Arabidopsis thaliana: one gene and its partner. The protein of the gene in region 1 interacts with the protein of each later gene in a pairwise test. Each region holds a gene or a part of one and is shown on either strand. Other genes may lie near its edges.

Region 1 (3,699 bases):
GAGAAGAGAGTCCAAACATGCACAATATATCATATCAGCAGTCAAACTTGATGAAATCCTTACTATGTTATCACATTTCTCAAATGCAGAGATAAAAGAAGGGGAACAAGAAGATGTTGCCTTTAAGCAGGTAGTTTCTTTATGCCTATAATTTCATAACTATAAGGTTATAATGTGACATTTTGTTACAAGAGATGGTAATTATTGGTATATTGTGGTTGGTAACTAAATTTATCGCGATGAATCTTGATGAACCGACGTTATTTGGTTATAAATGCAGGCATGGCTTATGTACTTCTGGGGTAGAGCCAAGTTGCATAGTGTGGAAGAAGACATTGCAGATGAACGTTTCCAGTTTTGGACCAGTCGTAGTGAAGGAAAATCTCCGACTTCACAAGATGCCGTTGACGGTAATAAACTTCTTCAATTGATTTCCCCTGTGTCCTAATTCTAGTTTTAATAACACATTAACTTGTTCTCTTTACAGTGGAACGAGGTTTGTTAGAGCTAAGGAAACTAGGAGTAGAGCAACAATTATGGGAAGCTTGTCGCAAAGAAACAGATCAGCTTCTTCCATCTTCTTCTCCGACATCTACTCTTTCAAATCACAACCTTGACTCTTAATTTAAAGATATCAATAGCATTATTCTCTATTGTATAACCGAAAAAACAAATCATCATAATCTAAAATCTTAAGTTTTAAACCCAAAAAAAAAAAAAAAAAGAGAGTGCTAAAAGTCTAACCATTTCTGAAAATAAACACATGTAGTGGGAGAGATAACACCATCAGGTGAACAGATCGCTATATGCGGACAAACCCCGCAAGGAATCGAAGCAAAAGCTCCAGCTCTCGGTTCGCCATTACCGAACTTTTTCCCGGTCAACCTGTAGCAAACTTCTCCGATTCTCGTAGAAGCAAACTCATTCATTCCATTACTCTTCACCTCCATGATCAAATTATCCAAAATCAAGTTCTTAAGTATCTCCTTAGTCTGATCAACACTCAGCTTCTCCTCTTTAACAAAATACCCACACAAAACCTCCAAAGTAACAACCCTCTGCCTATGCCTCTCCAAAATCATCACACACTTGGCTTTCAAATCTTCGATTTTCGACAGGTCAAGAGCTCCATCAGTGTACCATTCACCACCAGTAAGTTCACTACAAGGCTCAAACTCCATTGCAAGATAATGTTTGACACCTTTGTTGTTCATGTTTGCTACTTCTTTGATGAGATTCTTCTTCCGTAGAGAAGCGATCAATCGAGTAACTATAGTTGCTGGGATCGTTTTCTCGCGTTTCAATTCGAACATAGTTGCGCCTCTTCCTTGGTTTATTCGAATCAGATCCAGAAGCTTCTTCTCGTGTGGCTCGTTTAGATCACCTCCCGATGATTTCGGATCCGGACGTTTTCGTTTACTCATTCTTACAAATTCACCAAACTGCAAAAATCAATCGGAATTGTGACACGGTAATTGAGAGAATTCGTGTGATTTACGAAAAGGATTGATCTATACTATAAGAAGGTGATAAAATCGATGATTCTGAGATTACAAAGGATTTTGGTGAAGATTCAGATTCAATTTACCTGGAGATTGGTTTACTGGAGATGAACAATCCGATGAATATAGAGGCTTTAGGAGAGTTCAGAGAACGGAGAAGTCGTCCGTGACTGGAACGGATACGAAAACCCTAGGTCTGCTTTTAGCTAAATATATAAGACAGAGAAGAAAGTCAAATATATTAGTGTGGGCCTAAACTAATACACAACAAAAGGTAACTCGAAGTGGATTGGTACATATTGTTCAGGATTTTTGTTAATTCAATATGAGATTTCGCTATACAAGTTGGTTTAGATAAAAACATGTAGATTAAAAATATTTATTTTTAAAAAATTCAATTTATTTTTTAAAAATAGAAATAATTATAAAGTATTAAAATAATATATAATTTGCATAAAATTTTGAAAATAATTTATATTGTAAAACAAAAAATTTGGTCCAAAACAATTTATATTGTAAAACAAAGAAAGTATATATTTTTGATTTTTTACTAATATTTATGCTTATTAATTTTCAGAAATAAGTTGACAAAAAAATTCTATAAATATTTTATTTTATTAGACTGAACTTTTTCAGATTAAACCATAAACTTTAGTGAATATTTTTTAAAATCTAAAACCATTTTTGTATAAATGTTGTTGATTTCGACCGAAATAGTTTCATACAAAATATAGTTTTAAATAATAACACAAAACGGAAATAAAATAAAATTAGAAGACAGTTCTGTAAATAATAATATGTTTATTTTTTTAAATCTTGAATAATGAGAATAAAATGATCAGAGTCTTTATTACAATAATAAATTTATGAAATTAAATATCCGTCTTCTTTCTTCGTCCGACAAGTTCATATTAATTAAAGATACCTTGAGACTTTCCTCTTCTCAGATACAAAGCTGACATTTGAAGAAAAAGACATTTCTAAAATTAAACAGAACCTAAGCTTTTGCAATGGCGGAACCTGAGAAGAAGCGAGATCAACCATTTTCTCAAGTAATCATCCTTCATTTTTCCCCCACAAATTTAATAATCTATCATTATCACCCCCACCTTTTGCGTTCATCATTACCCCCACATTTATCTCTCCCTCTTTTCGCAGAGCCAGATTTTGATTTTGATTTTTTCCCCTTTTTCTCTGATCTGATATTATGGTGCTATCGCAGGAAAAAGACGAAGAGAAAGATCTATACCTTGTTCACGACGAGCACGAGTCTCCTCTTCCTCTCACCGTCACTTCTCGTGTAAATTTCTCCGATCCTAAATTCGTTTTAGGTTTTAGGGTTATATTAATAGTCTCGTCTTAAAAATTGGAAGACTTTTGGAATTTGCAGGTTTTGTACATGTTAGGAGATATAGCATCTGGTCCAGCTTATAGGTTTACTCAATGGTTGGATTTAGTTCGTAAACGAAGTGCTACTTACGGATCCTCTGGCTTCCCTCACCGCCTTCACCGCATCGATGATATGGTCACTAGGTTAACACTTTCTCTGACTTTTTGTCAAGTACTTGGTTTGTTGATTATGATTTTGGAATCTTATGAGTATATCAGAACAAAGGTTTCTAAATTAGGATATTAGTCTTCATGTCAGTTGATACAAGTATTATCCAGTGCAGGAGAGAGGAATACTGATCCTAAAAGTCCACCAAGTAGGCAGAGTTCAGAGATTAGTTTGTGGGAAAGGCTTGGTAAAGCTTCTACTGTGGATATTGATTCGAGCTGTTTTTCATGGAATATGTTGTCTTCACTTCATCATACTGAACATAGTAGTAGCACTGATCATTCTGAAGAAGACCAGAGTAAACCACTTGAGGTATATATATCATTATGATCTTGGACTGGTGATGCTAGGAGGATCTTTTGACACTATTAGATGTCTGTACAGGTTACTGTGAATTCTGGAGGAGTTGTTTTCTTTGCCCTGTTCAATAGTTCCAGCTCTGAAGATGCCTCTCGTAAGGAAGAAGCAGCAGTTATTAAATTTGCATCATCGAGGATGGCCACGCAATCAGAACGTCTAGGTTATGAGTTTTCCAAGTGGCTAGGGGTGCAGATTCCGCAGGTGCTTCTTTTCTTTCTTGTAGTTTTTTAAAAATGTAGTAATGGTTTTGCTCATTTCACTTTCTTTCTAGAATTTTCA
Region 2 (4,242 bases), on another chromosome or scaffold:
GACAACAACAGCAACAACTACTGCTCCTAGGCCTGAAGATCTTTGCTTTCAGAGCCCTGAGATTAGCTCAGACCTTCACTTGCTAGATGTTCTATCAAACCCAAGTAAGTAACAAAGATACCTTTTTAGTTCACACGTAACTGAAAAAAACAGAGACATTGGCTTTGAAGAAATAGTCAAGTAAGTTGTGTCTGTCTCAGATAATTTCTTGTGATTTGTGTTTGTAGGGGATGAGCATCTTGTTGGAAAGATGGGACTGGCGGAAAGTTACAACCTTTATGATCATGTTGAAGATTATGGCATGTCAGGCTGATTGAATACAAGCTGAGGAAACTTCTAATTATCAGAGAGATCAATGAAATGGATTTGGTAGTCAGTCATAAGCAGTATTAGACTTTTGTTTTTCTTAAATTGTTTCTTTCAGGGCTTATTAAAGAAACAAGTAGTTTATCTTATTAATCATTTTCAGAGAAACATTTACATGGATTGTTGAATCGTCTTGTGATGCTTGCTTTGATAATTTCTGCATTCAGAACGATTTTTACATCCTTAAATGAATTATACTGTAAGAAATAAAAAAATTCCAAGAGAAAAACATTTCAATTCAAACCTCTCCAGAGTTGAAAACATGCAAGTCTAACAAAGTTTTGTAATGGCCTTTCTCTATTTCTTCCTCATTCACATTGTGTAAGACCAGAGTCTGTATAACCAAATCCTCCCAATCAATTTCAGATCCTTTCTTCCTTTTCTTCTTGCTATGTTCAAGCTCCAAAGACAACGCACCTTCACTAACATTGTCAGAAGGATGTTGTATTGCATTAATCCGCAACTTAGCTGCCTTAATCTTTTCTCTTCGTCTTTCAACTGCAACGCAACCCTTTATGTAAGAAGGAGGCAAAGCTTCAAGCCCTACATCTTTCTCCAACAAGTCTTTGAGCAAAAGCCTTTTACTCAATTCCGATTTCCCTTTCCACCAATTTTCAGTTGACACCATTCCAAAAACAGATCTCCTTTGCCACATACTCTGACTACTTCCCTGACTTCTTTTCGCAAGAGTCCCACCACAAACTCGATCCTCAAATTCATTATACTTTGTAGACAACTGATTCTCCGATATATTATCATCATAGTTACATAAACTAAGCTGACGTTCACCTTCTACATCAAAATACCGAGACATAGTATCTTGACGAGCATCATCATCATAACAATACATAGATTCTTTGCTTAGGCAGTCCATCACTAAATCCTCCACACAAAATCCATCAGTTCTAACTAATTCTTTCCCAGTCCCTTGTTTTCTCTTTTTCATGGACTTGGCTTCCATTAAAGCAAACAAAGTTCCTGAATGTTTCAAAACATTCTTCACAGTAACATCTTTCGCCCAAGGCAAACCCACCTCTTCAGCAACCTTCACAAGCTTCTCAGATAACTCTTTATACCGCGTTTTACAAGTAGTCAACGAAACACTAGCATCTTTCGCCAAATCATCAATCTTTACCTTCACACCATTCACTTGAACAACAAACGCCAAAACAGCCACAACCAAAGGCATTGGTCTCCTCCCCGTCGACAAAAACCATTTCAACGCACAATTCATCAGGAAAGTCCCTTGCTTTATTATCTTCTCCTTCTTATCCCTATCAACATCAGTCAATCTCGGTGAATTAGTAACCGTCTTGGTAAACAAACCCACAAGATCAAACTCTCGCAATTCCAAATCTAGATGATCCACAACACGCTTAATCATAGGCCCTAACTGATGCAAATCACATCCAACTTCATAAGCAACCTCTTCCATAGACAAAACACCTTTCCCTTCTTCTCTTACCACAGCATAACAACAAGCTCCAATCAAAATAGGGAACCACTCACCTTGTCCAAATTCCCCATCAGTAAGCTTACTAATCATACTCTTAATCACTTCAGTTTTATTACCAAGATTCAATCTTTCTGTTGTCTCCTCAATTAAATTGTTGGCTTCATAGATCTTCTTGTCTTTATAATCAAGAACAGAGCCTCTACCAATGGTGCCTACTCGTATATATGTACCTTGAGGTCCTCTTATGCCGCCAAGTTGTGCCTCATAATTATCATACTCTCGTAATGTCCCACATCCACCGCAATACGAATTCCCCGTGTCTTCGTCGCGTTCAAAGTTGCTTCCATTGCATCTCTTGCAACGCATGATTCAAACCGAAAGCTTCACACTTTAAATTACGGGTTTTTTTTTCCGACAAGCAGAAGAATGAGATTCGGATCGCCGGCGAATCGAGAAGTACTGGAGAGAGAAATCAAAACTAATTAAGATTTGACCTTTCCTTAAAAATAAGCTAGGTTTTTATATTGTCGAGATGAAAACGGCATGATGTTAATATGAATAAAACAAAAACGCCAGGGTGTTTTATTTAGGACGCCACACAGTTTGTATTATTTTCTCTCTTTTGGCTTTTTGTTGTCTCCTCCACCATAGTGCCGTCTTTTATCTCTTTACCGGTAAGAGAAGCCGGTTTCAGATTTGATCAATTCGAAGAATTGTGGCTTTCGTTCGTTGGGTGAATCCTTGCTTCGTCCTTTTTGATAGATTGCTACTGTGTTTTCGAGGAAGTTGTGTGGAGATAGTTAGAGAGATTTATGAGATTTCAAGAGGGGTTATTATAACGCACGCATGGTGTTCGACGGAAAGCCGCAGAGAAGTTTTGTTGCTATCCGATTTGACTGAGACTCAAAGTTTGAAAATTGTTACTTGGGTATTGAGAAAGCTAACCTTGGGCAGGTTCGTATATGAGTTGGGAGTAAAACGACGGTGATACATTTGACTGTTTTTCAACTAAACTAGCTTTGAAATGGTGAGCTTGTCTGTTTCGAATAAGAGATACACTTACATACACGAAAGTGGAAGTAAGTCAACTAGAGAAGCCATTGATATTCACCATGTGATTATCAACGGAAGCAGCGGAACTGGTTATGCCCGTCGTTGGGGGCTTGGTTTCTTCCTTGTGTTTCTGGCGAGTTCTATGTACTTTTTGCTTGGAAAGGTAATTATGCTCTTAGAGAAAATTTGGTTGTTGCCGTTTGTTATTTTGATGTGAATCTGCTTGACATTTGAGTGATTCTGATGCATTGCTTAGAACAAGTGTTGCTAGTACATATCATGAGAAAGGCATACCATTTTGTTTCTTAGGATTGGTGATGGAGTATAGTTTGATATTTTCATTCTGTTGTGAGCATTATGTTAATACATGACAAGGTTTGTATAAAAGCACTTTTCTTTTTTTGTGTTACTTTACAAGCTTGTTTTGTTGTTGTTCCATTTGTTTCTTCTTCACTTAAGTTGAAAGGGATAATTCACATGAAACAGGACAATCCAGCTAGAACTCTTTCTTGGGGCTGCCTTTTAAGTGGTTTCTTGGTTATGCTACATAGTCGCAAGTTCGTCAAGAAAGGTGAGATCCTGGTTCATCCTGATACACGCTTTACAGGCTTACCAAATGATATCAGCTTCACGTTTTAACTAATTCTAGCTTTTCTTTGATTTCTTCAGAATCTGTGATAATCTTGCCAACCTTCGGGATCCAACTTGAAACTCAATATTTAAGGTATGCTTTATCCATTTAGTTAGTATTCTGTTGTCTGCACTCCATGATGGCTTAATGCTTTGAACTACTCCGTATTAGTGGTCTCTAAGATAGGTGGTAATGGTTGAATTTGTTGTAATTATCATGAACCATTATGATCTATGCTTTTAAGTTTTACCAATCATACAAGTACCTACTTTTTTGTGCATGCTTCTGCTTTGCAGTGGAAAAACTGTCTCCAGGTTTATCCCTATTGACAAGATTTTGAAGCCTGTGTTGGTCGAATGTGTCACTCCCATTACGTGTTACTGGAGTCTCTCTTTATTTCTTCGTGGTGAAGAACAACTTACATTGGTGTTTAAGGTAATGGCACCAGTTTGTTTCATTACATTGTGAGAGAAAAACTTCTGCTGACAACTTTGAGAAACAATCTAGAGTTACCAATTATTCAATTCGGGAATATTACTTATAGCAATTGATTTTGAGTTCAATTTCCTCTTTGGACAGGAACTGCGTCCTCCATTGAAGATGTTGGTTCCCATTTGGAAAGCATTGTGTGCTGCTATCGGTACAGACCACCAAAGTGAAACGATAGCTGAAGAAGAACATGATGTATCTAGTTAACTGCAGTTGTGATTAGAGAACTTGTAGATTTGTTACTTGT

The links. The genes of interacting proteins can lie anywhere in the genome.
Region 2: the proteins of AT5G23710 (region 1) and AT4G35540 interact in a two-hybrid assay, tested with the Arabidopsis thaliana proteins (one study listed by BioGRID).

What each region holds. Positions count from the first base shown.
Region 1 is NC_003076.8:7,995,797-7,999,495, forward strand, and holds AT5G23710 (DNA binding / DNA-directed RNA polymerase), read right to left. Parts: upstream 1,710-3,699; 5' UTR 1,589-1,709; exon of another isoform or gene 1,443-1,588; 5' UTR 1,425-1,442; coding exon 732-1,424; 3' UTR 625-731; downstream 1-624. Other genes in the region: AT5G23700 (coiled-coil protein), read left to right, coding at 1-130, 281-410, 488-624; PHS1 (dual specificity protein phosphatase family protein), read left to right, coding at 2,513-2,554, 2,725-2,802, 2,893-3,035, 3,171-3,372, 3,445-3,621.
Region 2 is NC_003075.7:16,871,885-16,876,126, reverse strand, and holds AT4G35540 (POLLEN-EXPRESSED TRANSCRIPTION FACTOR 2), read right to left. Parts: upstream 2,293-4,242; 5' UTR 2,189-2,292; coding exon 605-2,188; 3' UTR 529-604; downstream 1-528. Other genes in the region: WOX13 (WUSCHEL related homeobox 13), read left to right, coding at 1-104, 228-313; AT4G35530 (phosphatidylinositolglycan-like protein), read left to right, coding at 2,847-3,038, 3,362-3,446, 3,545-3,599, 3,803-3,941, 4,086-4,202. UniProt on the Arabidopsis thaliana protein: Plant-specific TFIIB-related protein that plays important roles in pollen germination and embryogenesis, possibly by regulating gene expression through interaction with TBP2 and the subunits of RNA polymerases. Binds double-stranded DNA in vitro.